Linked DNA regions of Styela clava. The protein of the gene in region 1 binds, or shares a complex with, the protein of each later gene. Links are inferred from orthologs where the notes say so. Each region holds a gene or a part of one and is shown on either strand. Other genes may lie near its edges. The genes, in order: COP9 signalosome complex subunit 7b-like and COP9 signalosome complex subunit 5-like.

Region 1 (16,545 bases):
GTTTATAACCAGTCTAACATACCATCTGTAATAATAGTAGGCTGCAGTCAATCCCCACCATGTATGATGACCAGCCAATGTGCCGAGTTGGTTGAATGGCATACCAATATTTGGTTTCACCAGCAGTGCGAGCTGATAAAATCTTTCAGCAAAAGATCTTGAACCTCCGTGCTCCACTAGATATCGACCTATTAAAAAGAGAAATTCTTAAACTACTGAAGAGCAGAAAAATGTTTGTTTTTCTACTATCAGTCACATAGAATAATTTAAAATTAAGCTCCCTCGAATTGATATAAATTCCCATTTTTTTAGGTCTTCCATATGCACAAGGCTCTACACACACAAAAGTCACTGCTCACAAGACGTCATCTTCCATCTATCCTGTTCGGCATTACCTACTCCAGGGGTTTTCGAACTTTTGGTGTTATGGAGCATGTGCCTGTGCTGTTGACTAATATCTCCGAAGCCCCACAATAAATTTATAACACATTGATTTTTACCATTGATGTTCCTGAGTAGATTAAAATTACTTTATTTAATGATGCGGATGTATTTATTGCTTCTTTGGATAGTTACGAAATTGCCAAGTCAGTATTTTAATAAATAAACAAATATCTCACGGAGCCCCTACCCCCTAGGTTTATCCCACAGATCCCTGAGGCTCCATTATGGAGCACTTTGAAAACTTATGACCTTCTCAATTTATTTGACCTTGGGTGAGGTGATGGGCAAGGAATTTGAAGCACATATTTTTAACCGGAGATGCCAACATAGCCAAGCTCAAAGCTTTTAACTACCAGGCAATCGCACCCAAAGAATTACTGTAGGTTATAAAAAGTTACAAAGATGTGAAATAAAACACACTTCAACTATATTTCAAGCACAAAACATTAAATCAACACTCAAATTGAATTTTACATAGATGTAACAGATAAGGAGTCAGCTTGGATTGCTACGGGCATGGCTAGGAGACATATTTACTTTATAGTATATAAAAATACCAAAACAACAAAACAATTCTGATTCACTTTTAGTTGCAAACAGATCAATACAGAAATCCAAAACTCATTCATCAAAGAGAAGAAAAAACCAACCTAGATCACCAAGACATAGGAGGATTCGGTACGATGTTTCCTGGGCCCATTCATCAATTGTCATAACTTTTTCTGGAGCATCTCTATCAGCATTTTTTGATTTTTTGCTCAGAATAGTATGAGATTTTACTTTTTTTATTTTTGAAACATCTTTGTCCGTTGATGGTTCATTGACTTGTTTTGCTGATAAAATGGTGACTTCCCTCCTTCTGCAAACAAGAATGAATTTGGAGTTAAATATTAACTTTATTATATGATAGTGTTCATAATTATGGGTAATTCAGATTTAAATCAACTTCAAATTCGAATGAACAAAGAGAACCAGGCCATATTGGAAAAGAAATGTTATTGCATCCCCATCAAACAGAAAATCTTGAACACTTTTTTTTCCTTGCCTTACACTACCATTTTTTATGTTTGAAGGTATGTGCATTGTGTTCGTAAATGATTTTTATTTGACCAAGTTCTAAGAACTGCTTTCATTTATTATCACCGTAACTTATTTACCATACAAACCTTTTATATTTATCACTCAGAGGACTGCTTGCAAATGGCCAATCGACGGCAATATGCGGTTGATACTTTGCTTGTAGTTTTAGTAATAGATGATGATAATATCCAATTGCTGCTGACAAGTACTCTTTATATAAAAGTTCCAATCTACTACCAGATTTCATGAACTGAAAATATGTTATATGAGTCGATGTCGATTTCACTGATTTGTGACAAAAAAGCTTGAACAACATAATTAATAAAAAAAAAATAGTTAAAAAAATAATAGACAGAATGCCATTTTGTTGCTTGCAAGTTGCAACCCTCAATTGATAGCTAAGAATCATACTATCTCGTGACTAAATTTGCATAAAAGAGCGTGGATGCGTAATTTGACACTTTACTGCAAAAAGTACCCATCACACTATTACTGCTGGCCTTGTTATAAATTTGGCATAAGATTACACAGTAACAAAGCGACTAACAAACTTAATTTATATTGTAGCAATCTTTCTCGCATATAAAAGAACATAATAGAGCTAAAACATCAAAATTAATAATACTGAGATATTTCACACAAGGCTGTGATTGCTCTATACGGCTTGTCTAAGTACCGGTACTGTAAGTCTAAGCTTGGTTAAATTTTTTGAAAATTTGATGCAAGAATTTTCAACAAGCCTAAAGAAAATTACCAAAGTATTTTTTCTCAGTAATGAAAGACAAATATCCAGATGCTAGACTCTACTTAAATTTAAAATCTGGTTGTCAAATTATCTAAATTCTATACCAGTGTCAACGTAAACATTAATAAAGCTTACCTTCTTATTGCTTTTGACAAGTTGAATAACCTCATAATATACTTTTCTCCAAATCAACTCTTCGGCTTTTCGGCCATATTCTATGGGATGTGAGAACATGAGTTTTTCACATGCATCTCGGAGTTTATGTCTAGGATTGAATAAATTGAGTAAACAGTTAAACGAGAATGTGTAACAAAAATACGGCATCTCAAGAGTGGGTATTTCAAATACTGTTATATACATTTCCTGCAATTTCTTGAATGGGAAAATATATTTGACTGCACAAAATTTTCTTCTTTTCAAAACAAATTGTATTTGTCACCAAGTGAATAGCAATCTGACATTTTTCCCTCTTGCCGATCCTTATGAACTACATTGACCTATTGGTGGAGATTATGTCACTGCAGTGCTTCTCTTTACAATATATGACATGATAAAGCTTTGTTGAATAATTATTTGGCAAATAACTTTAGAGTTGATAAACTTGGCTAAGGAGCTATAACATAAGACTGAGACACCTTCTGAGATAATTGATTGACAAAAACCTATTATGTGTGTGATGATAGACTTGAATACTGCATAGTATTGCATTGCATTTTAAAAAGGATTCCGATACACATTCATAGGCATTAATGATTTACTTAAGACAATATAGAGCTTCAATGTTGGTTGTTGGTGTACACAGTAAACATTAGAAGAGAAACATATTCTGGTGAAATAAAAAATTTGATTTGTATCCATTACCTTAAGCCAACTTGCTCCGACTGAAAAACACTCATTAAATTCCTCCTGTGTTGTCGACCATTTTCTAACCTGCGTGCATACTCCAAAACACCTCTGAATAAAAAATAATAATAATGGTTAAACCACTCAATGTATATAGAAAACACATGTCAATATAACAAGGCCAGCACAACTGTAAATTATCCAGGATATAAAATATAACAATAAATAAAATCGCACAGCATCTCAGTTATTTACATTAATAAATCACTAAAATGTTATAACGCTGCCTTAAAATGTAGTTGACACTCTTTGGCATACAACTCAGTAAGTCGAGCAAACAGTACATAATAGAAACTGATGAAATTGGCATACTTATGATTAATTGACCAAGTATATTTATTAAAACAATAATGTTTAAAAGGGATGACATTAGAAAACCCAAATAGCAAGACAACTTGGTGTAATTTATGAATTTCAGTGAATGCTTAGGGAACAAAGATCACAGACAGGTAACAACGACAACAAAATAAAATTTATTGTTAGAAACGTCTCAGAAAAAAGAAACATTGAATATGAATGAAACACTAGTTGAGTAAATAATTACATTTCCAAACTAGTTAAAACTAATATGATAATATTTCTAGTATTTTACCTGTAAAGTCTCCTGGCTGGTATATTCTTAATATCTGTAACAGTTTTTGAAGATGTTCTAGTATCTGTTGAATGTCGTGACATCCTGTTTTTATATCTGCCTCTTCACAGTTATTTCACTCCATTCTGTTTGTTTGATCTCAACAAATCTTGTCAGTAAATGTTAAAAATTGTTTTGCTTCATTGTTGTTGATATTCTCTCCACTTCACGCATGCTAGCAATATTAATTTTTGTTCACTATATTTCTCTCGTTTATTGTATAACAACAATATTTCTATGTAAAAAATAAAAGAAAACAGAAAATGCATTTAACATATTATCACCAGTTAACACAGAAACACTCTGACCAAAATACTTGAAGCTCAAAAAAACACTCTGGAACTGAAACATATATATCGAATAACTGACAAACAATTGGTAGTGCCAATTCAACATACTAGCTAATTGAAACATGAAAATCTGTCAAAATATTCAAAATTACTAATTTTCCCAGTAAATTAATTAGTCTGGCCGAAGAACTTGTGTTTTATGTTAAAATTTCAAAATAATATTTGATATAAACATCATTTTTGAGTCTAATGAATTAATATATAGTCTGTTGCAAATCCCGAAATACATTTATACTGCAATATAGATGAGGGGATACTTACCACAACGTTTTATATTGATATACATCGAGTGAATACTTGGCAATTCTAACTAATGATTTCATATAAAATTTTGATAATTGGTAATGATAACCATTTTTTGACTAATTCAGCTTCAGTTGTAAAGCTTTAGCATTTGTGCAAAAAACATTGTTTAAACTGTGATAGTTTCAACAAATATTGTGATTTGAAATATAATACAGCTGGCGCTTTCCTAAACTTTGAACTTATATTAAACGGAATAAATTACATTGAAACCATTAAAATGCTATCATTTGATTGAAACATAGAATTTAGTAATGAAAAAATATCATGTCAGTTTTTCGATGACCATAGCTTATTAACCGCTTGACTACCCCTGAGTCCTTTGACCTTAGACTTTTTAGGTTTGTTTTCAACCCCTGCAGATGGCATTGGGTGGGATGACAAATTTTTGTCACTCGAAGTAAGTTCCATTTCTTGCTGTCCTGATGCAGCTTTGATAGTTTTTCTTATATTTGTTACTTCTTGTTCAATCTGTTGTTTTCTTTTTTGATCTTCTTCTAAAAATATATTTGAAGATTTTACTTGAGTCTGAATTCCTTGTAACATAGTACCACACGCATTGCACCATGATTCCAATGTCATTGTTATATTATCCAAATCAGCTGGTCGAATATCACGTCCAATTGTCCAGTCAACTTCAAGACGAGAATTCTGTTGATCAAGTTTGCCACGAATTACGTTGGAGTAGATTGCAGAAATCAGTAAATCTTCAAGCTGTCTTGTATTCGACATAGCTAGTTCTTCAAGAAGAGTCGAATAAGGAAGATATTTGAATTTTGTAGCCAATGTTGCGACAGTCAAATGCCTTAATTTATCTGTCATCATAGGTGTTAATTCTGGTAATGTATCTTTATCAGCCAGATAGTCTTTAAATATGCCATATGCAAAAATTTTAAGCAGTGAAAAGTATGTCTGCGCTGTTGGATCTTGCTCCAAAGCCTGAATTGCAGGGATTTCAAGTAATTCACCAAAGAAATAAACATCTCTTGCTTCCATTGCTTGCTTAATCAATTCTTTCAAAGCTGAACCTTTGGCAGTTTTAGCAAGAATCAAGAACTGCTCCAACTGTTGATTTGTGTTGAACGTCCCAGCAGTAACTTTGGTGGAATTTCCAGTGACGAACTCCTTCTTCAGAACCATTTCAGACATCTTACTGGAACAATCAAAACCAATGAAGACTAGATCATTACAGATATAAATAAGCTAGAAAAACCGAAATAATAAGATATTTTTAGTGCGTTGCCTTTCCCTATATTTCTCTTTATTTTGAATGTTTTTCTATTGCCTTATTAAAATAATATTTCCTTTCCCATGTAGGTTAAATATTCATTATTTATCAGCCTGTGTTAGTATGGTGTTTTAATTTATGTCAACAGACTGGTCAACCATGATGATTTCAAACTCTGGTGTGAATACTATCCTTAAATGCTCATATCTATAATTTCCAATCATATACATACAGATAATAAATGTAGCTATACAGAGCTATGTCATTATTTACAAAGTTTTCTCTCGCTTGCTGCCTGGTTTTTGATAAGATTAGGTGTCTAATGGATTTTCCTCTCCTACAAATAAATAATGAAACATGAAATTCATTTCCAGAATTGGCACTCCAATTTCAGAAATTTAGAATCTAGGCACAGATTACAATTAATTCTAACTATTGTTCTAATTGAATTACAGTGGAATTCATTATTTATTTTTTTTTAATTTTTTTCTATACACAAGCGAATTTGAATTATTTGTATTTCAATTCCAATTTTGGGTAAATGATTGATAGAAAGATTTTATTTCAATTTATTCACAAAATACCAAAATCCAGAAGATGAGGGCAGAGGACCTGGGAAGTGCACATACAAACATAATCTAATATTAAGTTTAAAACATATCAAACAATTTCAACCACCAAAGAAAAAAAAAAATCACAAACCTTAACAGATTAACATAAATATTGATGGTGGTCTTTACTCAGACATTTCATTTTGTAATCCCATTACATGCGATTCATTTTAAAATTAAACTGTGAACTGAGTAGCTGCTGTGTGTGATAATCGAGGTGGCATGTGAACAAATATTGAAAAAAATTCCCGAATAAATGTAAATCAAGAATCGAGAAAATTTCTAGAATAAAGTATGAATGCATGTCACATCAAAAATATAGGCTATGCAGTGATTATCATCTGATTGTACTATCCAGCTATCTGTAATATCGACCGAAGGTTTTAGTAAAACGTCCACACAGACACAGCTACAAAACTGTAAGAACGATTGTGAGTTCTCAAATATTGAGGCGCAGTTCTTACCACTTCATGGCAGCTCCTGCCACGAACGTACCACGCCGTCTCCTGCCATGGTTTTATGGCGCTATTACCGGTATATTTACAAATTCATGTACCATATTTTAGTTTATCATGCGAAATTATATCTACTTAAACTCTAACCCTAACCCCAAATACATCCAAACTGTATCCATAAGAAAAACATTCCAACTCACCAAATATTTATCACCATCAGCAGATTAGGGGCAGCCCTGCTATTACAGCCGACCTGCCGTGGTTACGGCAGTAAAATTGGTGGTATTCGATTTGCTGCCGTAACCACGGCAGCTCGCTATTGGTTTGTGGCAGCTAAAAAGTCAGTCGCCGTGGGTTTGGTCTTAGTGGCCGTGGTTTGGAAATCCCGCCATGGTTTTGCGGCAGCTGTAGACGCCACAAAATACTTGAAACTGCACTTGCAAATATTATACAACAGTGTAGTTGAAATTATGCACAACCAGTCCTGTTTATAAAAAGATTAGTACAAGCTTAATTTTGTTTGAACTTAACTTCATGCTTGCGTGTATAATTCACTTGAAAATCTTCCATTTTTGCATTCTGCCAGTTGTATATTTCTGTATTTTTTAATCACGTTTCCATCACATTTTTATCCATGTTTCCGTATCTGCCATTTATTTTCTTTAAGTAACTAAGATACATAAAGATATCCAGGTATCGGTATACAATTGCAAAGAAAAATAAATATGAAATATCCACACAAAAATATAGGTATCGTGTATTTTACAATTTCTTTTGCTGTAAGGCTTGGCGAATCTCCGATTGTTAAATTATAATAAGATGGCGCTGTCGACGCCACAAGACGGCGAAGAATCATTGAGCTCAATGATCGCGACCACGTATTGCACATACTGAGCTGATAACGCGCTCTCAATGCTGGTAACGCTTCATTCCTAATGCGACCTCCCTGTTTCTAATGCCCTGTACGTTATGAGCCTTTTAGCTTGTCAATGATCACTTGCAACTCTTTCATCATTGTTCTTAGACTCTACTTAGGGTGAGCGATTATTCGCTATTTGATTAAGTTTGCAGATGATAGTTTAATCTTTGGTTAACTTAAGTACTAAAGCCTGCTACCTTCGATTATATCAACAAACGGAATATACCTTTCTGATCATAATACTACATTGGATTCTGCTGAAATAATTACCTGTTCAACTCGAAACTCCACGGAAAATCAATATGAATACCGAAGTTCATAACCAGATTCTGGCTGCTGTTACATCCCTCCAGGCCAACCAAAAAGCGCTCATGCAACGCTCAGATGAGCTGTCTGCCACTGAAGACCATGGCAGCAAGTCTGAAGCTGTTAAGAAGTTCCAGCATGATGTGGCTCAAATCTCTCTTAAGATCGAGGAGATTATAAAAAGACTGGAGTTATGTGAAAAACAGCAAGATGATCAGGAACAGTACAGCCGGAGGAACTGTGTTGTTCTTCATGGCTGCAAATCTGTTCCAGAATCTGAGTACTACAAGTTTGAAGACTTTGTTGTTAACACCCTGAACAATAACTTCAATCTTGACCAGCCTATTGTTAACACGGATATTGATATAACCCATAAATTGCGATCCAAGTCCCCGAAGAACCCCATCATTATTAAATTTGTCCGAAGATCGACAAAAAATTTAATATATGGTAGGAAGAAAGATCTAAAAGGCAGCGGTTTGTCCATCACGGAGTCCTTGACCCGGAATAGGCTCAAGCTCCTCGCCGCTGCCAAGGAAGCATTCGGGAAGCATAAGGTGTCGACAATGAATGGGACTATATACGCTTACTTGGACAGAAGGCGAGTTATATCTTGTTTGAATGATATCACTACTCTCTCTCGTCCCCTGTACTCCAGGGCTGCTGCTCGCCCAATGGGACCTAGCAAATAGGCACACTGTTTGCAACTTGGTCTCATTGGTATAGTGGTGGCCTTTAGCACAGGGTTGATAATATAATTTAATTTAACTCAATTTATTTTCACCCTTATTTTCCTTATGCTAATTAGGCTAGTACTTATTTAACCATAAGTTCTGCACCTGGAAACTTTGTATTCAAGCTTTGTATTTTAGATTTTGTCTTACTTCACTATACTTTTTTTATTTTTTTATTTCATTACTTTGCCACCACCATGAAACATAATTTAAAATATCCCTGTAGAAATTGCCACAAATCAGTCCGAACTAATCAGAAAGCTATTCTTTGCAACATTTGCTCACATTGGATACATTTAAAATGCACCAATATCTCTAACCAGCAGTATGAAAACCTGCAATCTGAAGCTGATGATCTGCCTTGGTGCTGTTTCTTTTGTGAAAAAGATTGCATACCATTCTCTTCTCTCTCTGATTCTGAATTATTAGAATCATGTACTTCCCTTCATTCAGAAAAAGCTGAAGCCCAGGCACTTACTAAAATTCTTGATCCTGAATACCTAAACCAAATGTTTCTTGAGTCAGCCAATACTGACAATGATGAATTCAACAACATAAACAGTGTTTTCATGTACAACAGCTCAAATCAGTATATTTGCTCTAGTGATGTCAATGATCTCAAATTCAATGATAGTTTTAAACTAAGTGGTTTCATGACTCTTTCACTCAATATCAGATCTTTAGCCTCTTTCAAAAACTACACAAAATTTGAAGCACTAGTGAATTCACTGAATTGTAAGCCGCATGTAATTGCTGTAAATGAAACATGGATTGTATCTGGTACAAATGGCCATTTCAATACATTGGATGGCTATGTTTTTATCACTAACAGTAGATTTCATCACCGAGGTGGTGGTGTTGGTCTCTACATTCGAAATGATTTGAAATACATTGTCCGCAAGGATATTACTATAATGTGTGAAAAGGTTTTCGAATCTATATTTATTGACATATTATTGGAAAATAAAACAATAACCTGCGGTACTATTTATAGATCACCACTAACTGATGAATTGAACAATGCTAACTTTCGGAATCTCTTGTCCCAAGTTCTCTCAAAGATGAACAAGTTGAATTATAATTATATAATGGGTGACTTCAACTATAATCTTATTGATGAGTCCAATATGAATACCAGCCTATTTGTTGATATTATGCACAACCTGGCCTATTATTCTCTGATAAACTGCCCCACCAGGATAACTTCAAGTTCTGCTACCTGTATAGACCACATTTGGACAAACGTATATGATAAAAAAGTTAATAGTGCTGTTTTAGCAGAATGTGTTTCTGATCATCTGCCAATTGTACAATGCTCTCTTCTAGAAAAGCAAATTCAGAACAGAATTGAAACGCTTTACCGCCAGTTTACTTCGTCCAACTTGAATACTTTTATGAACGAACTGAATTCTATTGATATTGATGACTTCAGCAGCATCCAGGATCCCAACACTTGCTTTGAAAAATTTTTTGAAAAATTCTCTACTGCTTACTCTCAATCTTTTCCTTACAAAAAACAAACAAACAGATCAAACAAACCTTGGTATGATACTGAGTTACGTAAACTAAACAAAGTCAAACAAAAACTTTATAAGAAATTAATAAACAATAAAAACATAAATGACAAGCACAAATTACAGTTCAATGAATGCAGGAACCTTTATACTCGATTGCTCTACAAAAAGAAATCAAATTATTACAAATCTAAATTTGCCTCTCACAAAGGTAACATCAAGGCAGTATGGAAAACAATTAATGAACTTATTGGTAAAAATAAAACAGGTTCTTGTCCTTTGATTGGACTCGATTGCAGTAATACACAAATTGCAAATAAATTTAATGAACACTTTTCCCAAGTGGCACAAACCCTGCTCGACTGTATGCCACAACCAGCTGGCTGTGACAAAAATTACATTTCATATCTTGGAAAGCAAGAATCCTCATCCATGTTTTTAAGGCCAACTACATCATTAGAAATAAAAAATATTATACGCGAAATGAAGCCCAAGTCAAGTTTTGGAATTGATGGTATTCCATTCAAAGTATTGAAACACGTTCCAGAACATATCATTGACATCCTGACATATATATTTAATCTTTCACTATCTAGTGGGTTATTCATTGAAAGCTTCAAGACATCTAAAGTTCTTCCTCTATTTAAAAAGGGTAGTGTTTCAGATCTTGGAAATTATAGACCTATTAGTCTTTTACCATCATTTTCTAAGATTCTTGAGAAAATAATGTATAGTAGAATGTCAAACTTCTTTGAAACTAACAATGTTTTCCACTCTCATCAATTTGGTTTCCGCAAGCATCACTCCACTGCTATGGCTGCTAATGTTTTGGTACACAAACTGACCAAGGCCTTTGAAAGCAAACAACATGCAATTGGAATATTTCTTGATATTTCAAAAGCTTTCGACACCATTGACCATTCCATCCTTTTAAGTAAGCTCTATCACTATGGAATTAGAGGCGTCCCATTCAATTGGATCAGGAGCTACCTGCAAGACAGGAAACAAATTGTGCAATATGACAACTCATTCTCTACAAATATTTGTGTCATGAAGCACGGAGTTCCACAAGGATCTTTACTTGGCCCATTATTTTTTCTAGCTTACATTAATGACATGTCCAGGTGTCTGAAATCCTCTGAGTCGATCATGTTTGCTGATGACACTGACTTGATTCTTCATGGGAAAAACCTTGAAGATCTACTCACAGTTGCAAACCAAGAACTAACCAACATTCATAGCTGGATGTTGGTTAACAAATTATCTCTTAATGCTAACAAAACTAAATTTGTATTATTCCACCCAAGCAAGCATAAAAGTGTGAGTTGTTCAAAACCACTACTGCTCAATGACAATGAAATTGAAAGAGTGAAAGAAATAAAATTTCTAGGAGTTATCTTTGATGAAAATCTATCATGGAAATCACAAATGTTGCATGTTATTGGTAAAACAAAAAGGAACTTGGCAGTTGCTGCTAAAGTATCCCAGTGCGTTAATCAATCAGCTTTACTAGCAATGTTTCAATCTCTACTACTAAGTCATATCCGATATTGTAGCTCAGTCTGGCTCCATGGTAATAAAACACTTGTCTCGAAATTGCAAAGCATTTGTAATAATTTTTTAAGAATTGTCTTTAGGAAAAGTAAACGTGAAAGCGTAAATCATTTCTATAAATCGCTAAATATACTCAAGGTTGAAGACATAATGAAATTTGAAGTATTATCATTAGTTTATGATTTTCATGACAACTCATTGTCAAACTGCTTTGACGACATACTAACCAAAACCACCTCCAATCGAAGAAGTAATTCCAATTTATTTATACCGTTTATGAGTAAATCTGTGAGCCAGCATGCCCTATGCTATAATGGACCTAAGCTATGGAACTCTCTCCCCTTGAATTTGAAGTCATTAAAATCCAAAAAATCATTTCAGAAACAAGTTAAGTCGTACTTGGTATCCAAATATTAAAAGTTATTTTCCCATAACCACACTGATATATATACTCTTTCGTATGAAATTAGCTACAACGTTTTGATAGCTCGGACACAAAAAATATTGAACCTTCATGAATGACCATGATAGAAAGTTGGGACACTCTTCACTTGCACATACTTATTTTCATGAAAATATTAAACAGCTACAATATTGCTATTGCTCCTGCAGCTGCTGATTGTTGTTGAGCCGGCAGTTAATCTCTCTCCACCTGTTCTACATCTATTGTTGGTGTGTCGGGTTCTGTAGCATGCACAGCAAATTATTTATTTTTCAAATGGCTGTTTACACTCTGACATCTGCATGCGCATGTTCCCTTTTTGCTTAACGTTGGATTTTTGACATTACACATGCATGATCTTTGTTTCTATATGGGTGGTGTGATACCTTATGAGGGTTGTAGACCGTATAGTTTAGCTCCTGTACCTATTATTGTAATTAGGCGACCAGTGGAGATATATTGGATTCTCCCCTTCATTTTAATTTGTTGTGGTATTCTATGATTTGTTTTGTGTGTATACAAAATTTTATCCTAGGTTGAGGTTCTGCTGTGAAGTTGATGTGAAGGCCAACATACGAATGGTCAGTGTGGTTTGAGAGTTTCTGCATGGTTTGCGAGGAATTCACCCTGTGTCCCAACCATATTTCAACTCTGGTCTTTGAACTAGCGTTTTATAGATAGATAACTAATAATCAATATCTACTCGAAATAATAATTAATTCTAAACAAAAGTGTAGGGTAGTGCTGTTTCCAAATATGTAACCCTTGAATATCCTACTCGCAGATTTGTTTTCTGTTTTTCAGGTCGTTCTGTGATGATCAATACAATGGCTAGTTTATTGAATATAAATGGTGTCTACAACAACAAAATTCGCAGGCTGATGTCTCATCCACGATAAACTTGAACCTATTACGCCATAATAATTAAATGAAGAAATGATCCTGTGAAATAACAATACTAATTCCTTTATTCCTAATTCCTTTATCCTTGCAGAAGTCAATATCTAAGAATGAAAAAAAAAACCTTATAACCTTAGCAACCAACATATTCCTATACCCTGTCTTTCTACCTTAATTAATTATAATTACTCATACTTATAAAGTTACTGATAGATTTAAATACTTATTGCAATCTGGACTACAATTTGGCAATAATAGGCTCTAGTTTGGGCAATGAAGTGGTCTAGCCCACCTCTTCATGCACCCAATTCTGGCAACTTTGGTTGGGCATTTTGGCATTTGACTCCATCTATAATCAGCTTGACAATATATTTTTTTATAAAAGTTTATCTTTACTGTTCACTCCCATTTATAAAATTGATCAATTTGGCAGTGGCAATCATGATAAATTTATTAATATGGTGTGGCAAGTAATTTTTATTTATTTATTTTTTATTAACTACCAGTATGTAATTTTTCATGTTCCCTTTACTTAATAACTTCTATATGGTTGTGTGTGTGGGTGCGTGTGAGCGTGTGTGAAATATTTCAATTATTTTAGGTGAGTGAACACGTACCACATCTTCTTGGCAAAACCTTCCATCTTATATACATTCTGTACGTTTTAAACCTTATCTAAGGTTTTGTTCGCTCTCCTGATTTCATAATCAGTTTTTATTTATTTATTTTTAGCATTCATTTTATTGTTTTGCTGATTATGGAGTCGAAATAAACTTATACTTATACTTAACACGTACTACTTATTTCATCAATACCTTTCCATCTAAAATCTGTACGTTTCAAACCTTACTCGAGGTTTTGTTCGCTTTCCCGATTCTATTATCAGTTACTTTTATTTTTGTTTTTATCTATTATTTTATCGTCTATTGCTTATTATGGAGTCGAAATAAACTTATACTTGTACTTAATATACTTTCGACTTTGCATGTTACCAAACTTGGGTCGACTATCGGGTTTCAAACGAAATTAAATTAATTGTTTTCTAGCGACTTCTTTCTTTTCTCAATAACTGAAAATTTGAAATACATTGGTTGAATAATTGCTGAGAATATCAGAGTAATATGGTGTAGTACAACCGTAGTAGTATATATTTACGGTACAACGTAGGAATACAATGTACAGGTCCAGCTCCAAAATGGATTTAAGACGACCAGACGCATCTCTTTATCTGCTTTTCCTGAACGGATAATAAAAACGATTTGATTGAATGATTTGTAATACTTTACCGGTAGGCATTAACAACCGTGATCATGTGCATATGCTTGTATTTGCATCTTGCATGTACGAAAAGTTACAAAATTGTATATTGGAATACGAATAACTTGATTACCAGCATTACTGTAGCAGCTAAAAAGTTAGTCGCCGTGGGTTTGGTCATAGCGGCCATGGTTTGGAAATCCCGCCATGGTTTTGCGGGAGCTCGAGACTCCACAAAATACTTGAAACTGCACTTGGTTTTGTCCGTGCAAACCAAAGCAAACGCACAAATTGTGGTCACGAATACCATATAAAGATATGCAATTGTTAGCTCATTGTATTATCCTGCAATAATATAGGCCTAATCCATTTTAAATGACAGAAAAACTGAAGTAATATACACTGTAATATATTTCAGATATTTGTAGTCTATACAGCTATAGGTTCAGTCCAATACCGGTAACCGTTCTGGCGTTTTAGTTTTATTGCAATGCTGCAATGGGAGTGACCAAACTATGGGAAGTTTTGAGAGACGTTAAGCAAGATGTTACTCTGGAGCAAATAAAGGGACAAACATTAGCAGTAGATCTTGCAACTTGGATTTGTGAATCGGAAGGAGTAAAGCAAATGCATAGCTATGTAACACGACCATACCTGAGGTGAGTTAATGCTATGAATATTGCGAAGTAATTGCCTAGGCTATATTCATTTTCTGTTGACAATTCTTCATGCAGTAATAAATTACTGTTTTATTGGTGCAATTTGTATCTCAAACAAATAAACCTTTTAAAGGACACCCCATGGTTTGTATCACATTCGTTAGCACTGTAGCATGATATCCAATAAAATTAGCAATTTTTTGCAGAAACCTATTTTTTCGTGTGAGCAGTATCCTGAGACTTGATATAAATCTTGTATTTGTTTTGGATGGTAAAGCTCCAGAGTTGAAAAGGGAAACAATATCAAAGAGACTTGGAACAAGGTATAGTCTTTGACAGTGAGTCACATTTGCGATGATATATTTACTAGTTAATACATAGCCTTCTCATTAAACAAGCTTCGAACAAGCACTCATTGATGCTATGTTTTTGTTGATCTTGAGGAAAATTCGATAAATTCAGAAATTGTTGAGCTCTTTCCATCGCAGGGTGGCTCATGTATCTGCTGGTCTATAACTGCTCCCTCTATCATCCAAGTCCATGCATTCGGAAAGCTAAAGGTCTTTTGCTTGTGACCACCAGAACACCACTCTGGGCCTCTTAGAGTTGCAGAGTGCCCAGTTTAAGAAACTCTGACTTAGAGTCTGTTTAGGCTTCATTTAGCAATGTGATCTGATATGAAATGCAATATACATTATTTTATGTAGTCACATATCTATCAGATTCTACAAAGCCCTACTGGATAATCATGATCTTGTTACACTATCTTCGATGCTTAAAACGAATTGTCAGATAATTATACCGGATTACTGATTACTAATCAAATCTTTCTGCTTGACAGTGGAAGCAATTCTAAGATTTCTTCTGGTGTTCGGAGCAGACTGAATTTCAAACTTAAAGAGGTGTGTTTTCTAATCTATTCAATGGAATAATTTTTGTAAAAAAAATTGGTGTTATTGTTATTTATGCACCCTTTTTGATGCTCAAATGGCCAACCTGGTTTCACATAATATGGGCTCATATCTGATGCGAAATGGGGTATGCTCTGTCTGAAGATTGCTGAACATGCTTTTGAGGAAGCAATTTGCTTTTTCATTGCACTTTTGAGAATTTATGCACTAAATAATATATGGTGCACATAAAATAGGATAAATAAATCTTTATTAGCAATTTATGTTGTATTAATTGCAGTGCTGTGTGTTACTTGATTCTCTTGGTGTACCATGGATCAAAGCTGAAGGAGAAGCAGAGGCATTATGTGCTGCATTAAACAAAATTGGTTTAGTTGATGGCGTCATCACTTCTGATGGAGATTGTTTTTTGTATGGTGCTAGAACTGTTTATAAAAACTTCTCTGTTGAAAAGGTATTTAAAAGTTAATATTGTTCAAATGAAATTTTTCTACCAAAACTGTCATAACAATCTTAATGGTATTTAGAATTGGACTATATTAGTAAATATACCTATTTAGGGGGCACTTGAGTAAATGGACATAGAAACTTGGGTAAAT
Region 2 (17,786 bases), about 11 Mb from region 1:
AATGTAACAATCAGGGTCATTATGACGTTATTTTCGTAGATACGGGAATTTAAATCCATGAAAACTATAGTCGTAATTTCAGCAGACACAAGTGAAGTGATGAAACACTTTGGTGTGCCGCTTCCATCCCATGGCCGCAATTAGCCCACCTCTAATATGCTTGACCCTTGAGAGCTTATATCAATTTCAATTAGAAATTCATATATTCTGAAATTCATTCAAAAACTACTTTCCCATTATGCATGACATTAATTATTCATGCCCTGTCATGTTCATATTTATGCGCTTAAATCAACTATTGTCAAATAAATGCGCAAGATATGTCTTGCAGAATAATTGTTACACTTCAATGAATATTGCTGTCGTCATGCTTCAATGAACACTTCTTTGCGTCCTGGTTTTGGGTGTTTCTGTCAATATAAATGTATATGTAGCACGAGGAAATTATTGCGAGATGATGGAATAAAATATTCACACTTAGTGGAATTTACTTTTTATAATTTTGTGCCAATATTATTGCCCAAATGAGTCAACTTTTGTCAGCAAATAAATGTAGAAGATATATCTCATATAATGTTCTTTAGGCACCAATGAACATTGTGTTGTGATTTCCATTTGCTGGATTAAATCCAGGGCTATGCTGTCTGGAAAATTTGCAGCCGTTTAAAAATGTATAAAAAATGATTTTATCTCTGACTCCATCTTCATATTAATAGAAAATCAATGTGTCATCACACAAACTTTGACTTTATTAGCATGCCACAATAAAGAAAACTTTATTTTTCTCAAAACTTTGTGCTTGTTGGAATTGGTTTTCACTTCGATGAAGTCATAGAAATTATAAATTGCACATCATGTGCTTGTTTCCCTAATTGCAGTTCAATAATCTGCTGGCCAGCGTAGGTATTTATTAGCATCCTCTGAGACCTTGACACGAAAAATTTGAAAAACACTGCGTGGACCACGTTATTCGGGAATTTAAAAAAAATTCTGAACACAATTGGATGAAATATTGATTGATTTTTTGTGAGAAACATGATCTCACATTCACTTAACTTATTAAACAACACTATACAGCAACCATGAACCTCTCAATGCAATTTGCAAAGCCGCGCTCATTTATTATTTATAATGCAAGTGTGTCTGTGCCCAAACTCTGCGTGACATAAGCCAGATTAAATGGGTCTTTGTAATTAGAGAGAAAATACAAAAACGGCCTATGGCTTTGAATAAAGAGATTCTGAACTAACAGGGCGATACTCATCTGTCATCAATAAGATTTCAAATTATGTTTTCCCACTGTTAATAAATTGAGCAATCACTGATTTCTATGATTCTCTAACTTTCACACGAAGCCACTATAACTTGACTATATTGCATTCAGAAATTAAAAATCCAAAATATCAAGGGTCGTTAGAATATTTGGATAAACCCTGTAAACCAGTAGGACATGGCGTCTATATTTTAATCAATAACACATAGAACAAAATTAGTCAAAATAGTTGGCTCTCCTGAAGTATGTGAACCAAGATGGCGGACACCGAAACGTAGTATGTGTGCCAGGTTAGGGTTAGGCTATAATTTCATTCCAATTTTCCTTATTTTAGTTCTATTACGAGTTCGGGGACTAGCCAGGTGACTCTCATAGTATATGTACATGAAATTATGGCCTAACCCTAACCTGGTACACATACTAGGTACCGGTGTCCGCCATCATAGTTCACATGCTACGGGAGTACAAAGTAGTTAGGGCCAACACCCTTATTATGAGACTATCATGTCATGTCCACTGCTAGATGAGTCACCCCAATAATCAGCCGTAAATTCTTGTGTTTCAGTTTTCGTTCACAACTGTATCCCGTTTATTGGTTTTGGATTTCTCGATAATGCAATCATGATACTGGCGGTAATTTATTTTGTTTTGTTGGTTCGAGGGGCCTAATTGAGCCAGTTTTGTCAAATATCTTTTTAATTAGTTCGTGTTCAGCAAAGATATTGTGAATTCATAGATATTTGATTTGAAATAAACCTTGAGATTATCAAATTTTCAAATGCAAAGTTCCAAGATTTCAAATGCTTGAAAGCTATTTTTCCTGTTGGCAATAAGTAATTTTATTGTTTGAACAAAAATAATTCATCAGAAAAAATCATACGGCGCTGAATTACTAGAAACATCTTTTAGTCAGTTAATTGTTGATCTATTCAGACCAATTAATTCTGTTAAAACCGCCTTAATCCAGTTACGACCATTCTCACTTTAGTTCACTCCCATGAGACACTTTTTTGTTAAAATAATTGGATTCTTCACTGAATTAACTTTCTTTGTTTTCCAGGGGGAATACATTGACCTGACTATTGGCGTTACCTTAGGGATTTCTACAATGGCAGGTGGGGATGGATGATTTATAATTATTGTAAAGTGGATCCATAATGTGTCCAAAAAATCTCAGATGAGAAATTTTCTGTGCCTGGCAAAATACTTTCTTACTTTCCCCTCCACATTAAGATCTTTTCTTATGATTTCATTATTTCAAGTTGTGTGTGAGTGTGTGTGTGTAACCTCGCTTCGAAAAAACATGCTTTTATATTATTGTGGTTAGATAAAATGCCTGCTTCACTATCACAAGACACAGAACAGAAATCCATAAAATACACTGGTGTGAAACTGTGGAATGCCTTACCAAGTAGCCTACCATTAAATCTTTAGGCTATTACGGTTTTAAATTATATCTAAAAAGTAAATATATTAGTTATTATCTCTCTTCCATCAGCCATTGATTGGAGTATTCAGTATGATTCGCCATCTTCTGTCCATAGCCCAGTAGTCGCATTTGTAGACTGTCGCCATGGCTGCCCAAAAAGCCGGAGGAACTATAGGTGTAAGGAGTCTATTTCTAAAGTACCCGGTACTTTAACTTTACCAACCTTGGTGCAACCTCTACACTAAAATGCCCAAATTCGTTATATTTCAATTTCTTGAGCAAGCATATGCCTACCATTCTTTCGTAAATTTTATGCCCACTTGCTGTGGAGCGTATTGTATATAAATATATATACATATCAACGTTTTATGATTTATTAAAGCTTACCAACTTCTATTCAATTAATCACTTACAATTTTGTCTTTGGTGTAACCATTTTCCCCTCGCTTGTCGTTTGTCTTTTATGTAACTTATATACATTTATCCAAATATGCCTTTTTTATAAATTTATACTTGAGTTGTTTTTCTTTTTTTTTCTCTATTATATGATTTTAGTAAAGTTGCGTTTGCTGCGAATTTTTTCAATGATTCGTTTATCATAACGACTATTGCATAGTCAATGTTTGTAGCAAATGTAGTTATTTTTTTACACTGAACCAGTAACAGCGCTTTAGGTGTCGCTGCTTGAAGACCTAACAAGGTCCCTCGCGACTGTCGCACAAATAACATTATTATTATATTTATTTATTGTACCAATTTTTTGTGCATTTGATGTTTTTGTGACGACGAATAAATGATTGATTGATTGACAAGACAAACTAATAATTTTTAATATCTTATCAAGTATTATTGACAATATAATATTGGATATGTAGCCTACTCCCTAAAACCTCTGCACAGAATTCTTCTGGTTCCAAGATTTGTGTTAACATATATTGGATCAAACCAAGCTTGTTTTCCTGTGTAAATTCGCTCAAATTATTTTCACAAGCCTAGACAAAAATGTTGAGCAACACCATATGCAATGTGATATGCATTCAGTGGCATATCTAGGGCAGTCATGGCTCGTGCCACAGGTTTTTAGTTACCCCCGTAGTGTGTGCACCAGGTTAGGGTTAGATGTTCTGTTTGCTGTACTGCTTGTCCAGCTTCTGACAGATGTACGAGGTGGTGCACATGGGCATATCAAAGATTCCCAAACTTTTAAGCTTGCCACCCCTTCCAATATATTAAAATCTTCCACAACCCCTGATAATTCGGCATTGTTTTGCAAGCGTGCCACCTATCTGGTCCCATGTATTCTCTCGAAATCGTGAGATCTATGTTTTGCATTGGTTTTTATAATTATGCTTTGAATCAAAAGTCTAAAAGGTACAATAGACATAGTACTTTTGGTGAAATTGATGCTCTTTGCGATCCCTAAAATTCGTTGTTCACCTCACTGCAAGGTTGCAACTCCCAGTTTGGGAAGCCCTGACGAACATCAAAAAGAAAATTCATTTAAGTCAATTTATATTAAAGGAACAACTAGTTACCGGTAACTAATCACAAAATTGATGGCAACTGGATGAGAGTCTGTGGTCAGGTTCACACTATGAAAAAGCTGTTTTTATCAACTTTCCTCGTTTCCAGGATAAATGGCAAAATACCCCTCCACATTAAGATCTTTCATTATGATTTTATTATTTCAAGTTGTGTGATTTCTCTAACGAACTTAGTTTTAATGATCAACCATTTTCTTATTGATTGATTTGCCAATATATATTCAAATGATTGATGTCTATGGTTATCACTTATCATAAAGTAGATAATTATTGTTTTGATTGATTTTCCATTTTCACAGCTTTGTTGAATAATGTTTGATTTTTGTCTGGCCATCAGATGCTAAGTGCCCAATATGAATATATTTTCAAACAAAAGTATTCAAGTTTTGTTCTATATAAAACTAATATTTTACATCAAATATACCCGCTTTGGAATATTTTATGTTTTGGACACCCTGCTTTAAAAGAACAAACAAGAACAAAATGACAAGAATAATCAGGCATATAGTTCCGCCAAATTTATTTTTTTCAGCGGGTATATTATTTTGACAAACCCTTTTAAAATCTAATTGATTAGTCTAACGAACAAATTTTCATAGTTTCTGCTTGGTTAACCAAGTGTAAAATTTTGACAATTTTTTCCAGCTGCTGCGCTTGGAAACACTATATCAGACATTGCTGGGATCGGGTAAGAGCTTTATGTTGAAGAAATAAAATTTTGGAGCGACAAGTTCTTTGGCAATGATACTCTTTGCTCCAAAACAGAGGTTTTGAGGGCCACAATGCTAGGTGCAAAGCTGATTTTACTTATGCAAGATTCAATTTTTTGTCATTTATTTACTGGTCTTCTTTTTTCCTTAGTGGATGCATATAGCTGTTGTGATTGTCCAAAACTCTGCTAAGAGATGGGTCCTCTGTATTTCTGTGTGTGAGTGTATGTAGCGAAAAATTTTTAAAAACATGGTTCCATATTATTGTGACCAATATCACAAGACAAACTAATAAATCTCAATATCTTATCAAGTATTATTGACAATATAATATTGAACATATACTCTCTAAAACCTCTGCACAGAATTCTTCTGGTTCCAAGATTTGTATTAACATATATTGGATCAAACCAAGCTTGTTTTCCTGTGAAAATTCGCTCAAATTATTTTCACAAGTCTTGACAAAAATGGTGAGTAACACCATATGCAATGTGATATGCATTCAGTAGCATATCTAGGGCAGTCATGGCTTGTGCCACAGGTTTTTAGTTACCCCCGTAGTGTGTGAACTAGGTTAGGGTCAGGCAATAATTGTATAACGATTTTCCTTGTTTTAGTTCTATTACGAGTTGAGGGAATATCTGTGTTAGCCAAATGAATATACCCCCTGCTCATAGGTTTCAGTCCCTTTACACAACTTGACATAAAGTAGGCGAACTAAATTAATTACCTCCATATTGGTGCATACACTTCTGAAGCGCAGATTTTTATGCTCCATTGGTTACTTGCAACCCTCCCTCTATCAGTAATTTTTCAAATATTGCTGGAACGGTCGACCTCTTGCACTGAGCCAACCTGTATGAATAATGTGGCCTCTGCACAGGTTTATTATTGTGCGAGAAATATTAGTTAATACAGGGATAAACACGAAGCTTTTCTCTTTACTCTAGATTGGCTGGATATGTTGAAAGCCTCTTCTATAAACTTGGGTTGCCAGTACCTGCCTTAACACCGGAACAAGCAGAGCAGAATTCAACTATTTTTTCATCTAATGCGGTAAGTTTCTGTTTTTTTAGAATTAGTGTGAGTGGGTTCCGGATTTAAACATTTCACCCACCTGGGGCTGGGCATTTTTGAATACCTGAGGATTTCAGAATCACATAAATTTTTCAAAATGGAAAATGGAAATATTCGACTGTATGTGACTTTTTATTGTGATGGGCACATAATTTACTGAAAACTTTCATAGTTTCAGACAGTTTTAGAAACATGTTTCATTAATAACTCACTAAAGATAAAGGAGTCGGTAAAAGAGTAAAAATATGGCTTCAATAAAAAAAATTGAGGAATTCACCTCGACCTGTGTTGGTTTAAAAACAAGATGACGGCAATTTGAAATTCTTGCCTGGAGCAGTTGTTTTTAGAGCATTTTATAAATTTAATGATAGCAACTTCATCAAGATCAAATCTAAGGTTCTCTTCGCTACTATAACTATCAGTAGAAGTTACACAAGACTAACTTCCGACTAACCGACTCTTCCTCAACGCCCCTGCCCTAGTGGATCCCTATGCGTATATTGCAAGGATGCTGTAGCAGGAATAAACATGGCCATGCTATGCAATTCAAGAGTCCAGCTGCACATAAACACAAACGTATTTCTGTAACGTTTCGTTTGACCAAAATCAGACTTCTTCAGACAAGCAGTTTACACAGACGAAACCTTACAGAAATACATTCATGTTTGTGTGCAACAGGAATCTTGAATTGCTTGGTCTCTTCACTGGTATTGTTATTTATTTTAGTGACTGGGAAAAGTAAACCTGACTTCGACTTTACTATTTGGCCCTTTGGAATTGTTTTACTACATTATTACATAATAAGTTCTTCAATTTCAGGGCAAAGCATTTGGAATTTTGATCGGTTGTATAGTTGGAATGTTCCCACTGTTATTCATCGCTAAAGAAGAAAAGGAAGATGGATGACATCTTGAATAATTTTTCGAGTTTTATCAAAGCATTTGGCTTGAAATACAGTTACTTTTGAGCTGCTTGACTCGCGCCATTATTATTTTATTTGTTTCAGTAGCTCAGACCATTTCAGTCTGTAGAACTGTATGGTGATACAGACAAGCAATAAAAAGGCCTAATAATATTTAACATTATATCTGTATTGCATTCTATTGACTGGGATAAGTTTATGCTTTCTCATGCTTTAAATTTTTAACTTTTCGAGCTGCTTCTCCATTGCACCTGAGAAAGTATATTTAAATCTTTTTTTCTGTAATTGCCATATTTCTTCATTTAGAAATATTTTTGTTGTTTCCTTATTTTAACCAACATTTTTTTTTTTAAATCTTGTGTTAGTTTTTCAGTCATATAGTGTTCCTTTAGTTTTAAATGTATTCAGCTTTATTGCGATTTTCAGATATTTACATATTTATCCCGACTTATACATATTTAACCGACCAGCGGGTATGTGAACCACCCTACGGCGACGAGGAGTCTAGCAATCCTTTTGCACATAACCATCATCGCTTGGGATTCGAACATGCGGACCCACGCAGAGAAATCAGATCAAATGCTTAGCACAAGGAGCCACACTGCCGAGCCTGATTATACCGCTGGACGATAAATCGAAAAAAATATGCCTGAGATTCTAAATCAGTGTTTCACAAACTTTTTTTTATAAATTCCTCTCAAATTTTGGATCGATATATTCTCCCTCACAATGCTGAGGAACTCCATTTTCGTTCTATTCTAGAAATCTGTATTTGTAACTTTACTTTGAATCATATGTTGCTGCTGTTTTTAGTTGGTATTTTCTGTTGAATTTTGTTCATTTTATATATTTGAATAGTTAACAATATATATACATGTTGAATTTTTATAAGCTAGTGCTGTATTTTGTGAAAGTATGTACAAAGGTATGTACACAGTGTTATGAATAGCAAAGAAGGCGGCCTCGTTTGGGGCCTTGGGGGTGTTTTACGCATGTGCTCCAAACAAAGCTTGTAGACAGGCAGGTAATGAGCAAATAGACTAGGTTCTTTTCATGTAGTTTGGGTAACAATCCAACCTAATTTAAAGTCATTTTACCTTGGTGTTTCAGAATAGCAATATAACAAGAACGATTATGTAGGCGAGCACATTCTAAAAATTGAGCCAAAACATGTTGCTGCAGGGACGAGCACGGAAATATAGTACAGCAATATGAAAACTGATGGTTCGCATATACGATCTTCCTCACTAAATGTGTGTTTGTTTTTCTCAAAATGTAACGGCTTCATATAAATTTTACAAGAGAGATATGCTCAAATATACAGACACGTAGCGCCACATAATTTTGATGACGTCATGGCAAAAAATAAAAGTAATAGCCTTTTGGGGAAAATTCCATTTTCAACCACTGAAAATTTCAGAGCAATTGGTCCAGTAATCAAATAGAAAAGCGATTTCTCCGAAACGATACAAAGAACAACAATAACAAAACGATCGTTATGTCCATTTCGTGTCCAATAATTACAGAGACGAATGCAATGTAAATAAAAACCGCATGGTACGCTGTCACATGCAAACTTGAAGAAACGTAATTTTTCTCTCCGTTCTAGTTGCACGGCAAGTATATGGATAGGTCAGATATGTGACTTGATACGATTACGTACCAATGAAATTCGATCCGTGGCAGATTAGCCCAAGAGAAAGAGATATATTGCGACAAAAACGAAGTCAACACTATTATTATAAACAAAATACAATGTAGAAAATATTTCAGCAGTAATAACAGTGATTGATTCAAACCATCAAGTCCATGCTTCCGAAAACAAACAAGAGAGCTATGCTCAAATATATGGACACGTAGCGCCACCCAATGGCAATAACTTTGATGACGTCATAGCGAAAAAGTAATAGCCTTCTGGAGAAAAATTTTATCTTCAACAACTGAAAATTTCAAAGCAGTTGGTCCAGTATTCGAAGAGAAAAGCGACTTTTTGAAAACGTGTCAAAGAACAAGAACAACAACAACAACATAATATTGAAACGATCGTTATGTCCACTACGTGTCCAATAACTGGCCAACTAATCCCTTACCCGACCTGGAATGGTAACCGGACGAGAGGCCGTGGTTCGCCATATGATTAAGCCGTCTTATCGGCTTTCCTCTCCCCTGGGATAAATATGTAAATCCTATCATATTGTTTTGCGTGGGCCCAATTAAAGTGATCTGGGCTCCCGACCATTGTGATTTGTGTATGTATGCCCATATGCCTTGGACGAATTACCAGTTGAACCGTTTGAAGACGAGTTTGTCAAACGATTGGGCTTTTTTTTTGCCAAATTATGTTTCATTGCCAATGTGGAATTTTTCTATTGGGCTCTCTGGCCGGCGCTATCCTCTTTGGAGGTAAATTATTATAAAAATTAAATGTAAGGATGCGGGGTCAGTAATTTTAATATGACCTATGATCTTTGAACTCTTTGGCCTGTGAAATACATGTCACATAATCAGATGATACCATGTAAATATTAATCATATTTCATGTACACAAAGAATAAATTTCATTTTTGAAATAAAAATCATCTTACAACTTAAATACTTCATTATTGAAAACGTGGAAAAAAAGATTATTGATATTGTTATTCTTTATCAAACCTCGCACAACCAGCCCTTCTTTATTGTATCTGGCAACAGCAAAACCTCTGCATTTGGTAATCTTGTACTGGATCGACGAAGTCGTGTTTGCAAACGTAATTTGTATAAGTAATTCGACCACAATGTCGGACGAAAAACCTGGAACGTCATCAGAAGGGGGGTACGATTGCTTCTATTATCTTATTTATAAATGGATCTTCATTTTACATGCTTACTTGTGGAAATAACTGTAAAAGATGACTAATATTAGGTCTCTTTTGCGATGTGTTTTACCCGTTTTTCGTCCCATGTTGCATTTCGTCTTTGATTTTGCGTTCCAGATTGCTAAAATTTTCCATGATACGTATTGTGCTAAGCTTTGACTTGCAAGGAGAGATATTTTGACTTCAAAAATAGCAGAATAAGTCTTTGGTCATTAAGTTGTCATTACTCTGACGTACTACGGTTCAATGGTCCTTAGTTAGGAAGCAACTGAGCGAATATCATCCTTGACAGTGTCGAATTGTTTTTTGTCAACTTCCTGACATCCTTGTCTCAAGATTAAGCCCATGTACTGATATAGGGTGTGTTATAAAAGTCTGGTATTTAATTAGGTAAAAGGACTTTGATGTGCTTCATACAACTAATAATGGTGGACATATAAGGGTTTATAAATGAAGTGAAAGGAGCTTAAGTAAACACCGATTAAAATAAAACAATTCTGGTTGAGATATATTAACAACTGACTCATACGATCATAAGAATTGTTATAATAGTACTTCACCATCACCATGTTTGTACAGTAGGGGACAGTTTTCGGGTCTCCTGAAGTACACACCGCAAGTACTTCTAGCTGGCATGGCTCAACAATTTTTGCATATGTCATTCTTAACCCCCACCTGACTAGGTCATCCGAAAATTACATTGCAGTGACGTAATACGGCTCGACAAAGTATACGAATGGTCGCGCAGACAATCATCCGAAATCGAGTTTGGCTATTTCTCTCGTTTTCTTATCAAAACGATACCAATAAGAGAGAGATCGCTGACGTTAGTGACTGTTAGTTCATTATAGTCGGCACAGATGCCATTTCGGACGATTGTAGCTACTTTAGCAAGCTCTATGACGTGATTGTGACGGCGCAGTGATGTAATTTTTGGGTGCCATACTCAGGTTGGGGTTAGGAATATTATACTAATAAAATCGTTATGCTACGCCCACTAGATGTACTTGAGGGCGCGTACTTTAGGAGACTCCAGTTTTCCGAATCCAAGATGTCCCGACATTAAGTTCAATAAAACAAACTCAATTGCCCTTGAAACGAGGGCGTCTGGCATGACGGCAGATGCGTCAGATCGTGTCATGCTTGTCTCAATAGTAATCTAAATCAATCATGATATGTGTGGTGTGTCGGCCGTCACATAGCCAAAATTCCCGTTTTCTGCTGGGAACTCTTGTATGCTGCGATAAAATTTGTTTCCTCTTGTAAATTGGATAATTTTATTTTCAAGGAATCCAATGATGTCGTTTTCAGATTGCGCTCTCTTTTTGTTGCACAGTGCTAATTTTTGCCAGTATGGAGGCCCTGACTGTCTCATAAATCAGGTGTTTGCAATCACTGTTATGATTTATGTTTTTTAAGTAGGGGCTATTCTTGGAATCAGTGAACTGTGCTAAATCAATATATATTTACACCAAGTTCATTCATTCAAAACTAATAATCTGGTTTACTATTCCCTTATCTGGCATAGACTGGTAGCATGTCAAGGGCCCATGTTCTGCCATATCATTAAAGCGTTCTTTCCGTCTTTCCTCCCCTGGAGATGAATTTGAAAACTTCATCTTTTAACATGTTAGTGGTGACTTGCAACTGTTCTATCGCTATTCTCCTGACTTTTAGCTCTGAACAAATTCGTTGATAAATAAATTCTTGTCCTAGAGCTGCATCTACAAAGACAGACCAGCCTTTAAATTCGGGTTCTGCGATGGCTTTGAAGACTTGGGAAATGCAAAACAATATGGAAGTGAGCGCTTTTTTTTAATTACTATTAGAATAGGATAGGGGTAGAAAAAGTATAACACGACTTAACTATATGGCGAACCACGGTACTTCACTAATGGCAAATTTGTTATGAGTTATTTTAAAAATATTTTGTTGAATTGGTTAGTGCAAACTGGTTTATTTCTTCAAAATCATTGTTTTGCCACCAACTTTTTAACAGCTGTGCTGAAAGTACTGTAAGCTAAATTTAAATGCTTGTTCTATATATTCTATCCCTGCAAAAACAAGCCAATGTTATTAATCAGTATTCAGTGACAAGATATCTAAGAGATTGTCTAAATTTCAGTTTTGATGTTGCTGTTGACATCTTGCGAATGAAGCAATGTTTTTTTTGATATATTTGAATACCTCCACTCTGGACGGGGTTCTGCACAAACAGTCGGTTATGTGTGAAAAACTACCATCATTTGGAACGACCGAAACCGTTCTCTGGCAGCTTTGTGTACCAATTTATTAACCCCCTGGGTGAGGTGATGGGCCGAGATTAAAGTTTAAAGATTTGGATTCCTGAATATGGACATTTACAATTTTCATATTTTTCTGTATTGAAATATTGCCTTCGCTCTATACAAACAGCCAGAGATATGTGAAGAGCTACCATTATTTGGAAGAGCCGAAATCTTTGTTTCAGCTTGAATCAAGATTTTAATCTGCGAAGCTGTTCTAACACTTTAACTATGCCACCAGAGCTGGCGACACTAACTAATTCAAAAACATTTTTAGATTGTTCACTCAGTCGACGAAATCTACAAATACGAGCTGAAACAGCAACAAGAAATGTTAAATGCAAAACCATGGACAAAGGATCCGCATTATTTTAAAACCAGTAAAATATCTGCACTGGCTTTACTGAAGATGGTCATGCATGCCAGGTCAGGCAAGAATTTGGAGGTAAGTCTACATTTGCTGTTCTTGTGGCTTCAATGACCAAGATGACAGGTTGAATTCAGATTTGGACACAGATTCTGGAGCAATGTTAAGTTAGACTATAAGTCATATGTGTATTCGACACGTTTAAATTCAAATATACGGTACTTAAGTTCATTGTATTACTGACAGGGAATTAATCTCAATTCATGCAAAATTATTACTTGGACAACAAACCATAGAGATACCAATAGGTATTGTAAAACACAAAAGTTATATCCCTTCTAAAGGACACTTCCATCCAAAGGCAAAGCCAAGAATTTTCACAGGGGGGGGGGGGGGGGTTATGAAAATTCATCATTGTCAAATTAAACCAGCTAGCGGGAAACGTGGGGTTCCAAGAGTCTTTTTTTTAAAAATGGGGGGTTTCGACCCTCAACCCCCCTGGCTACTCGCCCATGATTACATCCTTTGTCACTGACGATTTGAAGGTCGAATGTTCTATTAGTTGACGACAAAAGCACTTTTTCGTCTTGACAACAGCAAATAGAATACCATCGATAAGAACAGTTCATGCACCCATCTCATGTCTTTTTTACACTATTTAGGTTATGGGTCTGATGCTCGGAAAGATAGATGGCCCAAACATGCTCGTGATGGATTGTTTTGCACTTCCTGTTGAGGGCACAGAGACACGGGTCAACGCACAAGCCGCTGCATACGAATACATGACAGCCTATGTTGATAATGCTAAACAGGTTTGTAACTGTGCTAAACCTGCTATATTAGATTGAAAATTTGTGATCATGGTCAAAGTCAGCGTTTTTCAAGAGCTTTTTTCACCACCCACTTGGCATTGCCAAATTTCTTTGCGACTTACGAGAAGGAACTAAAATAAAAAAAAAGTAAAATATAGGACCTCCTGAGGTATGTGCACCAAGATGGCGCACAACCTGAACTCTGGTTGTGTACCAGGTTAGGGTTCAGGTTATGCGACATCTTGCTGCACATACTTCAGTAGTACCAAAATTTAATATTACACAAAATTTAAAAAAAATACTGAACTTGACAAATTGTTAATGAGACTGATGTGTCAGCATATTCTTGCACAAAAGATTGAATCCCCGCTCAATTTCCGCGATGGTGGGTCTGTAACAAATTAACCAATAATTTTGGATGGATTATATCAATGCTAAATATAATTTCTGACGTCATAAAATATTATAAATTCTAGAGAGTTCTAGCAAAAGAATTCGACCTAAATATTGCACGCAAGTGAATAATTCTCATGTGATATGATGAATCACCCCTATTGTACATGGATTTTGCTAGAGGTATCGAGCAAAGACTGTTTGAAGTGTGAAACCTTATAAATATGATCTCATCAGCTAACAGCTAACAACTAACCTTAAGAGATAGAAGTGTAATTTGTTTATGCTGATTATTGTAATACATTGTCGGAAGAAATAAAATTGTACAGGTAAACCTCTCTGATCCTTGGCTGTTATATCAAATTAACAGAGATCTCAAACTCAACTGAACACGTAACCTATACTATATTCTGTGTGGAGTCACATTTATATATTTGACTAGTCAATTAGTAGTCAGGAAACAAAATTACGCTTCAGGTCTTAGTACAAATTCCAAATCTTTCAAATTTGATCAATATTTTAACATAAGTTGTTGTCGAAAAGGCATTTACTCATTTTTAAACTAACCGTCATTAAGCGGTTGCGCCACTTTGAAGTATCGTATCGTGTTCGTAAGCAGACTTTTTAGTATTTTCCTCTCCGAGTTATGTTTTTGTGGTATTGACGTGGTATCGTACATATTCTACGACGTATCTCGCATGCATTACGTCTTGTGCCTCACTGGACATCTATGTTTAATACAATAAAATTATTCGACACTCCGTATTCTATAAAATATATACTTCACATTTTATTCATTCCCAAAAAAGATGAAAATTTGAAAACACCATTGATAATAATTGCAATCTTATTCTTTCTCTTTCCAGGTTGGCAGACTGGAGAACGTGATCGGTTGGTATCATAGCCATCCAGGTTATGGTTGCTGGCTCTCTGGTATTGATGTTGGTAAGTTTTATATGGTACCTATGGGTCGGTGTTGGAAGAAGTCCCCAATTAGTCGATTGTGTTAATGACTTATATACTAGGAGTGCTTCATTTTTCATTTAGTATAGAATTACTGTTTTTCTCGTTAAATACTCTGGAGGCCCAATCCTGCCTGCTTGTGCCTGCTGAAATTTCGACTATAGTTTTTATGGATATAAATTTTCGTCGAAAATATTGATGAAAAGAAGGGGATCCCGAAGTATGCGAACCAAGATGGCGTACATCGGAATGTAATATGTGTACTAGGTTAGGGTTAGGCCATAATTTTAAGTATAAATACTACGGGAGGCTCTTGGCTAGTCTTCGATCTGATAATAGGACTAAAATAAGGAAAATTGGAAAAAAAATATCGCCTAACCCTAACCTGTTACCCATGTTACGTTCCAATGTCCGCCATCTTGGTTCGCATACTTCGGGAGCATCGAAAAGAATGTCATAATGACCCCAATTGTTACATCATGCTCTTATAAAAAAAACCTCCCACTCAGTAACCCATTCTAATATCTGAAATTGGCTCAGGAAGAGTAATTATCCCCCCAAAGGTCTATTAGTATCAGTTTTCCAAGAAATAATCTCTAATCTCAAATTTTTTTTTCAGATACCCAGATGTTGAATCAGCAATTCCAAGAACCATTTGTGGCGATAGTGATTGATCCAACACGGACTATCAGTGCTGGGAAAGTTAATATTGGAGCGTTCAGGACATACCCCAAGGTAAAGATATGATTTAAATTGTTTGGGCCATTTTTAATATGTTTCCTTAGAAGACGAGATCAAAACGTGAGATGTGTTAATATTGTCAACATAGGCGTTTATATTGGTATCTGCTTAAAAAGCATTGGTATATATAGCTGTTCAATATCGTCTGTTCTTAACCATCACGCCTAACCCTCCCATTTGAAGTGAAAAAATACCACTACCGAGATGTTGAATCAGCAATTCGAAGATCCGTTTGTAGCGATAGTAATTGACCCAACATGGACTATCAGTGCTGGGAAAGTTAATATTGGAGCGTTCAGGACATACCCTAAGGTAGAGCTATGATGTTCATGCTGGTTATGAATTAGACTCGGAAGACTAGAGCGTCGAAACGAGAAATGTATCAATATTGTCAATATAGGTGTTTATAAAGGTATCTGCTAAAAAACATTGGTATATTTAGCTGTTCAATATTGTCTGTTCTGAACTGCCACCGCACATTTAAAGTGAAAAAATCCCTTTTTCCCATTTTTGAAATGTAAAAAAAAAGCATTCTTCTGTATCTCACATAGCGATTTATTTGTAGCTTGAAATGTTTTTTTAAACCCAAGACTTTTTTAAAAACTCACATGCTAGCTGTCACGGTCCAACTGGGCAATTAGAAATTTTAGAACGTGGCCCTTTAACTAAGCCCATGGATGTTGCTACCATTCCCTATGGCCAAGCTGATTCACACTTTTGTTTCAGGGTTACAAACCACCAGATGAAGGCCCTGATGAATATCAAACAATTCCTCTCAGTAAGATTGAAGATTTTGGAGTTCATTGCAGGTGATGCCATTTGTGTATTGTTTCCTCAGAACAAGGCTAGTTGAGTGTTGAAAATGTGGGTCGAGATTTGAATTCTAGTCGAGTTAACACATATTCAGGCCTCATTCAATATTATTTTTTTGTACTTATCACATAGATTTACATATTTAATCAGGGGAAAGTAAAGCCGATAAGACGGATTAATCATATGGCGAACCATGACCTCTCATCTGGTTACCAGTACAGGTTGGGTATGGGATTAGTTGGTCAGTTATTTGTTTCATGGACTTTGTCCGATGTTGGAGGAAGCCATAACCGACCAGTGGTTACGTGAACCACCCTGCTGCGGCGAGCAGTACAGCAATCCTCTGGCACATATTTAACTCCGCACAGGATTCGACCCTGTGAACCCACGATGCACCGCCAAGCCACATCTACTGTTTTTACTGATTGAAGCTCAGTACAAAATTATGTCAGGATTTTCTGCAATCGAGGAGACAGACGTACATGTCCCTAGTGTGCCCCTAGAATCTAACAATGTTTCTGTCACAGAGTTTAATAAACAGCGTGGATTATGATAAATCAAGTAGCTAACAACTATTGTGAGGAGCTGACTTTGATGGCCGTATGGTCGTATCGCTCCCCCCCTGTCTATATCAAAAAACTTTGCGTATGTTTTTTTTTATTATTGTTACAATGTTCGTTTTTCCAGTTGACAAAAAATAAATCTCTCTCTCGTCTAAAAATAGTAGGTGGATAATTATCAGTGGTTCTCGAGTCTTTTTTGAGGCTTAGGTGTTGAAAAAACACAAAACGCAATATCTATTCATTGGTAGACCTGTCTATCTGAAAGTCTGGTTTGAAGTAAAAAGCGTTTCAGCCCAAGTTATACCCTTTTTAAAGGACACTCACATCTTTAGTGATGATTTGAAAGCCGCTGTTTTATTGTTTAACGACAAAAGCATCTTTTGTCCTGACATCAGCGAATAGGGTATTACCAATGTTCAACTAATAAATGTATAACCTTTTGCATTCCAGGCAATACTACTCTCTCGAGATCACATATTTCAAATCGTCATTGGATAAAAGATTGCTGGAAAGTTTGTGGAATAAATACTGGGTTTCTACGCTGAGCAGCTCAAGTTTGATTACAGTGAGTTATTTTTTTTTTAGATGAATATCATACCCAAAGACATAGTCAGAAATTTTCAAATAGGGGTTTTGAAATTTCTAATTAACCAGTTAGGTCGTAACAGCTAGCGATGGCTTGGTGAAGTCTTAAGAAGTGTTTTGAGCTATGAAAAATTGTTTTACATTTGAAAAGGGGGTTACAACCCTCAAACCCCCTCTCCCCCCTGGTTACACCCCACCCAGAGTGTAAAAATTCCGTTCTTTCAAGCTATAGTATTATACAATGTCTCTAAAAAGTTCCGCTCGATTGATTTTATAGTAATTACAATTGTTAGTTTAAATAAATTTTATTGTATGATAAATGAGAACTACAAGCACAATAACAACTATTAATATACAAAGAAATTTTTAATTGTTATTGAAATCATTTTAACACTGTTACATCATGCGCACTTGCACAGAAGTAAACTATATTGAGTACAGCCATAGAGATATC

What was found.
Region 2: COP9 signalosome complex subunit 7b-like (region 1) and COP9 signalosome complex subunit 5-like share a complex: the UniProt entries of both Drosophila melanogaster proteins name them as parts of the CSN complex. The link is inferred for Styela clava from reciprocal best matches to the Drosophila melanogaster genes CSN7 and CSN5.

The regions. Positions count from the first base shown.
Region 1 is NC_135257.1:10,600,449-10,616,993, reverse strand, and holds COP9 signalosome complex subunit 7b-like, read right to left. Parts: upstream 5,659-16,545; 5' UTR 5,606-5,658; coding exon 4,727-5,605; 3' UTR 4,036-4,726; downstream 1-4,035. Other genes in the region: nonsense-mediated mRNA decay factor SMG5-like, read right to left, coding at 23-188, 1,095-1,303, 1,611-1,774, 2,405-2,534, 3,131-3,223, 3,765-3,847; flap endonuclease GEN homolog 1-like, read left to right, coding at 14,875-15,035, 15,242-15,358, 15,877-15,937, 16,227-16,400. UniProt on the Drosophila melanogaster protein: Component of the COP9 signalosome complex (CSN), a complex involved in various cellular and developmental processes.
Region 2 is NC_135257.1:21,452,402-21,470,187, reverse strand, and holds the start of COP9 signalosome complex subunit 5-like, read left to right. Parts: upstream 1-9,614; 5' UTR 9,615-9,729; coding exon 9,730-9,767; intron 9,768-11,526; coding exon 11,527-11,611; intron 11,612-12,372; coding exon 12,373-12,540; intron 12,541-13,124; coding exon 13,125-13,274; intron 13,275-14,533; coding exon 14,534-14,612; intron 14,613-15,249; coding exon 15,250-15,365; intron 15,366-16,097; coding exon 16,098-16,180; intron 16,181-17,197; coding exon 17,198-17,312; intron 17,313-17,786. Other genes in the region: transmembrane protein 65-like, read left to right, coding at 1,839-1,906, 2,334-2,388, 4,892-4,934, 5,907-6,012, 6,853-6,939. UniProt on the Drosophila melanogaster protein: Probable protease subunit of the COP9 signalosome complex (CSN), a complex involved in various cellular and developmental processes.